2 linked regions of the Canis lupus familiaris genome follow. The protein of the gene in region 1 interacts with the protein of each later gene in a pairwise test. Links are inferred from orthologs where the notes say so. Each region holds a gene or a part of one and is shown on either strand. Other genes may lie near its edges.

Evidence for each region. The genes of interacting proteins can lie anywhere in the genome.
Region 2: the proteins of NFKBID (region 1) and SS18 interact in a two-hybrid assay, tested with the Homo sapiens proteins (2 studies listed by BioGRID and IntAct). The two-hybrid records come from large-scale screens. The link is inferred for Canis lupus familiaris from reciprocal best matches to the Homo sapiens genes NFKBID and SS18.

Annotation. Positions count from the first base shown.
Region 1 is NC_049222.1:117,609,510-117,613,260, forward strand, and holds the start of NFKBID (NF-kappa-B inhibitor delta), read left to right. Parts: upstream 1-927; 5' UTR 928-1,182; coding exon 1,183-1,201; intron 1,202-1,311; coding exon 1,312-1,412; intron 1,413-1,603; coding exon 1,604-1,664; intron 1,665-2,124; coding exon 2,125-2,342; intron 2,343-2,573; coding exon 2,574-2,764; intron 2,765-2,846; coding exon 2,847-2,952; intron 2,953-3,065; coding exon 3,066-3,212; intron 3,213-3,325; coding exon 3,326-3,377; intron 3,378-3,470; coding exon 3,471-3,619; intron 3,620-3,751. UniProt on the Homo sapiens protein: Regulates the expression of IL-2, IL-6, and other cytokines through regulation on NF-kappa-B activity. Functions in the regulation of inflammatory responses.
Region 2 is NC_049228.1:62,587,928-62,591,578, reverse strand, and holds part of SS18 (protein SSXT), read right to left. Parts: coding exon 3,617-3,651; intron 2,905-3,616; coding exon 2,782-2,904; intron 90-2,781; coding exon 1-89. UniProt on the Homo sapiens protein: Appears to function synergistically with RBM14 as a transcriptional coactivator. Isoform 1 and isoform 2 function in nuclear receptor coactivation. Isoform 1 and isoform 2 function in general transcriptional coactivation.

The DNA of each region.
Region 1 (3,751 bases):
GGGGTAAGTGGAGGTGGGGAGGTGGGGCGCGCGGCCCCTCGAGAGCCAGGGTGTGGGGGGTCCGGCCCCCGAGAACCGCGGGATGGGGGAGCGTCAAGCCTGGGTGCTGAGAGTGAGCGGACGCGGGCGCCCGGACTGCTGGGTGGTGATGGAGGCCGGGAGGCCGGGAGGCCGGAGGCTGGAAGCCTGGGCTCCCGGGGGCGAGGGGCCCGGGGGTTCGGACTCCTGGGTCCGGGCGGGGGGTGGGTCCCCGGGTGGTGCGGGCGGAGGGGGCTGGCGGCCCGGACCCCCGCTCCTGGGGGCGTGGTGGTTTAAAAGCCGTGGGTGAGGCCGGGCCGCCGCGGGCCGCGCCGACCTCCGCCCTGCCCCCGCCCCGGGAATTCCCGCGTCTCCGCCCACGCCGGCCCCCGCGCCGAGCAGGAATTCCCCACGTGCGGGGATTCCGCGAGCTCCACGCCTGGCCGCCCGCCGGGCTCGGAGCCGGACACCTGCGGCGCGCCGCGGGGAGGGGAAGGGGTGGATGGAAGATTCCCTTGCGTGAGCGCCGCGACGTCAGCACGTCGTGTCTGGGCCGTTTCCGAGTCCGCCCTCCCCCGCTTAACCCTTCCTCCGCCGGAACCCGGGCTCGGGAGGGCGCGGGCTCCGGGCCTCGACTTCCCGGGGGCTGCGGACCAGGCTCCTGGAAACCGGGGCTCCCGGGCGCAAGGGGGGGCGAGGCTGAGCGCCCGGACTCCTGGGTCCCGGGGCAAGGGGCGCTAGGCGCTCGGGCTCCCCAGAGTGGGGCCTGGACTCTTAGATCTGAGGGGCGCCGGGGTCTGGACTTGGCTGAGCCGGCGGGCTGTTGATTCGTCGTCCCCTGGGGAGAGGGGCTGGGGACCCGGGCCGGACGCCTGGTTCCCGTGGACCGTGCGTCGAGGTCAGCTTCAGGGCAGAGCGACGCGGGGAAGCTGCCCGTGCGGCTCAGGGCGTCATTGCCAGCGGCCCCCCAGGCCCCGCGACTGGGAGATCTGGGGGCTGGGAGTTTTCACGGAAGCTGGGGGGGGGGGGGGAGGTGCTGCAGAGGGGCGCGCCCCTCCCCCTTCCCCAGTTTCCACGACGCTGGTGGAAAGTTGGGTCAGAGGGGAAAGCGCGGAGCGAAGGGAAGGAAACGGCGGAGGCGGAAGCTGCACCTGAGAGCTAAGAATGGCTCTGGGGTCCTCAGGTGGCGTCAGCCTGCCAGTTTTTCCGCGCAGGAGGTCGAGGGAGGGGGCCCGAGTTGGGTGACTTGAGGACCTCTGATCGCCCCCCCCCCCCCCCCCCCCCCCCCTGTAGTGAGCCGGGGTGAACGCAGCCACTGCCCATCGCAGACCGTGAAGAAGCTCCTGGAAGAACAGAGGCGCCGTCAGCAGCAGCCTGAGGCTGGGGGGGTACCGGTAAGGCCCGGGAAGCCCTGAAGCGGGACTCCCGTGAGGCCGTGTCCTGTTGGGCGGGGACTTGAGGGCTCCCTGGGCCCTCAGCACGGAGCGGGGGTGCGGCCCTGACTTAGATGCTGCGGCTGGGACTGGATGCTGAGGGCTGTGTCACATAAACTCACCCTCCTTCGTTTCTGTTTATGCCTCTCCAGGGACAGTTTCCACCTCCCCCGGCCCAGTCCCTGACCCCATCTGTGAATGAGAGTGAGGCTGGTAAGTCTGGAAACCCATCTGGTCCCCTCAGCTGGCGCAGCCCCAGCTTTCTTCCCCGACTCAGACATTCTAAATCTTAGAACTTTGGGGAAACTTAGGAGTCAGACCAGACCCTCTTTCTTGCTGCGACCCGGTAGCAGCTTGATCTCCCAGATTCTCTGGAGCCCGCTAGTCTATGTATGAGGTCCTTCCGTGTTCCGGGGGCCCAGGCTTGCAGCCCTTTGTTGCTCCAAGAGTCTAGGCGCTCAACCCTCAGTGTCCCTGGAGTCCAGGTGGCAGAAGTCCAAGCTTTCAACCGCTTGGTGCCCTGGATTCTGGGTTCAAGCCCTTTGGTGTCCCACAAGTACTAGCTCTCAGTACCTTGGGAGATTCCAGGCCCTCACTCCGGTCCTCCAGTCTAGGTCAGGACTTCCCCAACTCTGGTAATCAGGCCTGCCCCTGCCCCTCCTCTCACACACAGGCCATTCTCGCTTCCCAGTACACCAAGAGACTGTGGGTTCTGGACCTGGCAGCCTGGCTCCCACCACGGGCTTTCCAGACTGGGACCCCAACACGCATGCTGCCTACACAGACAGCCCCTACTCTTACCCTGCTTCTGCTGCTGAAGGCTTCCTGACTCCTGACTTCTACCCACCCTCCGACCCAGGGCGGCAGTGTCCATATTCTGTGGGGATGGAGGTGAGATACAGAGTGGGAATAGGATGCTGAAGGACCCCTAAAATTCCCAGTTGCCCTCATGCTGGATTAAGATCCCATTCTTCAGATGGGCAAAACTGAGGCCCAAAGGTCCAGGGTCACTTGGTGCAGGCGGGGCACCCAGCCACTCTGCCTGGCACTGTGTGTACATCTGTATGTTAGGAAGAGGGAATTCTCAGCTGACTGGGTCTGCCCACCACATGTATCCTTCAGGACCCCCTGGATACCCGGCTTTATGCAGAACCTTCCCTGCCACAGGCAGGATCCTGGAGAGGTTCTGGACTTCCTTCAGGACCCCCACCGTTGCCTACTCTGGCCACCGGACCATCCCTGGACACAGCCCGTGCTCACATGCTGGCTTTGGGGCCTCAACAGCTGCTGGCCCAGGATGAGGAGGGAGACACGTGAGTATAGGGGATTGCGGTCTGCATGTTCCTGGCTTAGCAGGGCTGCTGTGCTCACTGCTTGCCCCCTACCTGTTCTCAGGCTCCTGCACCTATTCGCGGCTCGAGGGCTGCGCTGGGCAGCGTATGCCGCAGCTGAGATGCTCCAGGTATACAGACGTCTGGACATTCGGGAGCATAAGGGCAAGGTGAGGGCCGGGGGCCTGGACTGGATTTGAAGGCAGAAGGTCTGGGAACCTGGATTCTTGGTTTGCAGAGGGGAGGAGACTTGGGCTCAGACTAACCCTCTTATCTCCTGCAGACCCCTCTGCTGGTGGCTGCTGCCGCCAACCAGCCCCTGATTGTGGAGGATCTACTGAACCTGGGAGCAGAGCCCAATGCCACCGATCATCAGGGACGTTCTGTCTTGCATGTGGCTGCTACCTATGGGCTCCCAGGAGTCCTCTCGGTATGGCCAGCTGGCCGGTGGGGTGAATGGGATGGACTGGTCGCTCACATCCTGGCTTCCAGGGCTAGCAGGCCTGGGGAGACTAATCCAGCCCTCTGCCTTCTCCTCCTCAGGCTGTGATTAACTCGGGGGTTCAGGTCGACCTGGAAGCCAGAGACTTCGAGGGTAAGTTGAGTGGTCGGCAGGGTGGGTGTGGCAGGTGGGCTTGGGTGGGGTGGGTGCCCCAGATGCAGAGCCCTCACTGTCTCTGTTCCGCAGGCCTCACCCCTCTCCACACAGCCATCCTGGCCCTCAACGTTGCCGTGCACCCACCTGACCTATGTTTCCGGGTACTGAGTACCCAGGCCCGAGACAGGCTGGCTTGTGTCCAAATGTTGCTGCACATGGGTGCTGATCACACCAGCCAGGTGAGCTGGGCAGTGGGCAGCCGGTCTCTAGAAAGGTGTGTGGGATGGGTCACCTGGATGTCCAGGGCTTCCAAACAAAAGCTGACTTGGCTCTTCCCAGCCTGGTGAACTTGAGCACGTTACTTCAGCTTT
Region 2 (3,651 bases), on another chromosome or scaffold:
AGGCTGTGTTGGTCTATAACCCCCGTATTGCTGACCTTGTCCTTGTGGGTAGTTAGGATACTGAGGACCTGGACCACCCTGCGAAGGGCCTGCAAAATAATTAACACAAATAAAAGCCCAGATAAAAACAGAACTTGAACTCTCAGAACGGTTTAGAACTAGATGTTATTATGTTCTTATATTAAAAAAAAGGATAGTTTGGTATCTTGATCTTCTCAATTACTTTTTGAAATAAATTCCAAAGGTTGTAAGAGTGAAAATACTGTAAGGATACCACCATGTACAAGGTGTTTTGATTCAGTGTAACTAGTGAGCTATGTGTTAGCCATCAAAAAAAAATTTTTTTTTAATGAGTAAAAGAGACTCAGGAGTTGTACAGTAGGTTAATTCCATGGTATTAAGAAAATTTATCTATACTTCTACTAGAAAGCCAACCAGTATGAGTAATAGGTAAAAGAAAAAGCAAGAAGCAGAAATATGTTGAAATAATTTATTTTTTTTTTTTTTTAAGATTTTATTTATTTATTCATGATAGTCACAGAGAGAGAGAGAGAGGGGCAGAGACACAGAGAGAGAAGCAGGCTCCATGCATCGGAAGCCCGATGTGGGATTCGATCCCGGGTCTCCAGGATCGCGCCCTGGGCCAAAGGCAGGCGCCAAACCGCTGCGCCACCCAGGGATCCCTGTTGAAATAATTTCTGAATAAAGTTTGGGAACCAATGATATTTATAGCTGTAGGACTCTAGATTTACACTTGAAATCACCAAAGGATCACAAAGAATAATTTTCCATATAAATTCTAGACTTGTATTTGCAATTATCAAAAGAAGGCTTTATGCTCTGCACTGATAAACTTACTATCACAATATTTTCAAACCAAAACTAAAGAAGACTTGAAAAGCCACAGGTTGCATGCGAAAAAACCTGATTCAAAAGTTACACTCTATGTACCAATCACCTTTAATACTTAACCCATAAAAATGAATGATTTCCAACTCCAGAGATGGCAAGGGACTAATCTGGCTTGCCAAACAAATATGTCTCTTTCATAAATTCCACTACTGCCTATTGTAAAGAATGCTTTACAAAGCATAAGCTGAAAAGCTTTGACACTTAAATTTTTTCTATCACAGCTATTCAAAATCTGCCATTAAAAAAAAAAAAAAAAAACAGATGGCAGAGGAAAGTGTCAAAAGAGAATAAACTTTCAAGTGTAAATAAATTCCATCAGTCTATTATTTATTTAATTACTATACAGGCATTATTAAACTCTAAATTTCTACTAGAAGAAAGTAAGACAAATGAAGCCTATGAATAAGTAAAATGGGAACTTCTTTGGGATTCCCAATGTCTAACAAAATAGCATAACTACTTGAACCAAAAAATATTCAATTTCATCTACTCTCTCTTCCCACTGAAAATAATGTCTTTTTTTTTTTAAAGATTTTATTTATTCATTCAAAGACACACACACACACACACACACACACACACACACACACACACACAGAGAGAGAAAGGCAGAGACACAGGCAGAGGGAGAAGCAGGCTCCATGCAGGGAGCCCGACGTGGGACTCGATTCAGGGTCTCCAGGATCACGCCCTGGGCTGCAGGCGGTGCTAAACCGCTGCGCCACAGGAGCTGCCCAAAAATAATGTCTTAAATCAATGAATTTACTTGATTAAACCACATTGCATTTATTTTCATGTAAATACAATAAAACCAAATACTCTACTTATTCAAAATACAGATATTCAATGGTCATGAAATGAAAATTGCCATTTGAAAAGAGCAAGAAAGTCCTCTTGTAAAAACAAGAAATCCACTGAATATTTCTAAAGTCCTATCTCAAATCAGGGAACCACAATTATCAGTTTGGGGGAGAATGCCTGGCTCCCAATACATGACTAAATTTCAATGCATATATTGAAGGCACAAGAGAACTTGAGCTGATCCTGGTTCTTAGATTTGCAATGACGGGTGGCTAGAGGCGCCCATACTAATCACAGAGCTTAAAGTAATGACTAAAAATAATAAGACATTACTGATGTAAAAAAGAGACCATGCTAGCAAGAGAAGATGTCTCTAACATTAGAAACATATTTTCCTATATATAAAGTAGTGACAGTAGCTTAATATTTAAGAATGAGATATCAGGTCTTTATCATTCCCCACTCCCTATCTAATAAAGTTATTTAAAGCAAGATATCCAGCCACTAGATCTTATAGTGAGTCTACAATAAGAAAATATGGCTACATTTCCCCAAACTCTGTAAATATATATCTCTATGTATGTGTATATTACTATTTAACCAAAGAATGACAAAAACATTTTTTTATGCATTCCAAATAAATCTCATTTGTACTCTAAAAATCAATGCTATTTTTCATAGTAACAGTCATTAGAAATAAATTTGCTAAGTGGATTATGTAGATACGGTTAATAATCAACCAATTCATCAGTTTTCTAAGCACATACAAAGCTACTGGGTGGTCATGAATACCAAAGAGGTTTAAGAATTCATTTAAGAACTCATTTTAAATGACTACATACCTTACCTTTGGTCAATGAACCATCTCTAGTTTGTTTCTTTTTAAATGGATTACTAGTTTATCTGAGCAAAACACTTTAAAATAAATATTCCAGTAACAGACTGAGCTAAAATTGTGAATTTTCAAAAATAAGAATTCTTAGAAAAATAAACATTAAATATTTGCTTCAATATTTGCTTCAATCATCACATTTTTTGTGACAAAAATAAACTGCAAAAAGCTATTACCATAGCCCTGCTGTTGTCCTGGATAGCCCTGCTGCCCTGGGTACTGCTGCTGCTGGGGTGGATATCCCTGTTGGGGAGGTGGTCCTTGGTAGGCATCTTGCTGTTGGCCATATTGTGAATTTCCTACAGGATAATTGGAGAAGAGAAAAAAAAAAACAACTGAGAAGTTCGCTTAATTAACTTTTTTACTCTAAGATGCATAGCCAACAACACAAGAACAAAATGAAATGCCATATTGATTTTTTGAAAGTTAACAAAACAAAGAAAAAACTCAAACCAAACAGAAGGATTTCGGCCAAACAAACTGCAGTTAAAGCCAATTTTGCAAGGTTGAACTGCAGCATTTTCAGCGTCTCTGCCATACGAGCATTACATTTACTGGAACATCACAGTCATAAGATCATGACTATGCTAAATAAAATAAAAAAGACAAAATTAAAGACAGCTACAAGAGCACACACTAGCTACACAAGATCAGCAAGCTGTTTCCTAAAGGCACTATACTTATATGTAAAATTATACATATGTAAACACACACAAGAAAAAAAAATTGGATTGATGGATTTATGTTCAAATAGAAAATTTCCACTGAGGAAAAAATTATTTTTAAATGTTTTAGTCTTTTTATTGTTGTTAGAAATGGCAAGTCATGGTTATACATTTTAAATATTTGTAAGGAAATTATTTTGGTTGTTCTGGGCTCCCTGTAACTTTCAAGACAGCCAGCAACTAGTATTCTACGAGAGCTTTGCATGGGTAGAAGTTGTCTTATGCAAAATTTGCATTCCTGTAGAAGGGGATATATATGTGTATGTGTGTGAAGGTATATAGATACCTCCTTCGTAGTAATGTTGTGAGGAATCCTCATAA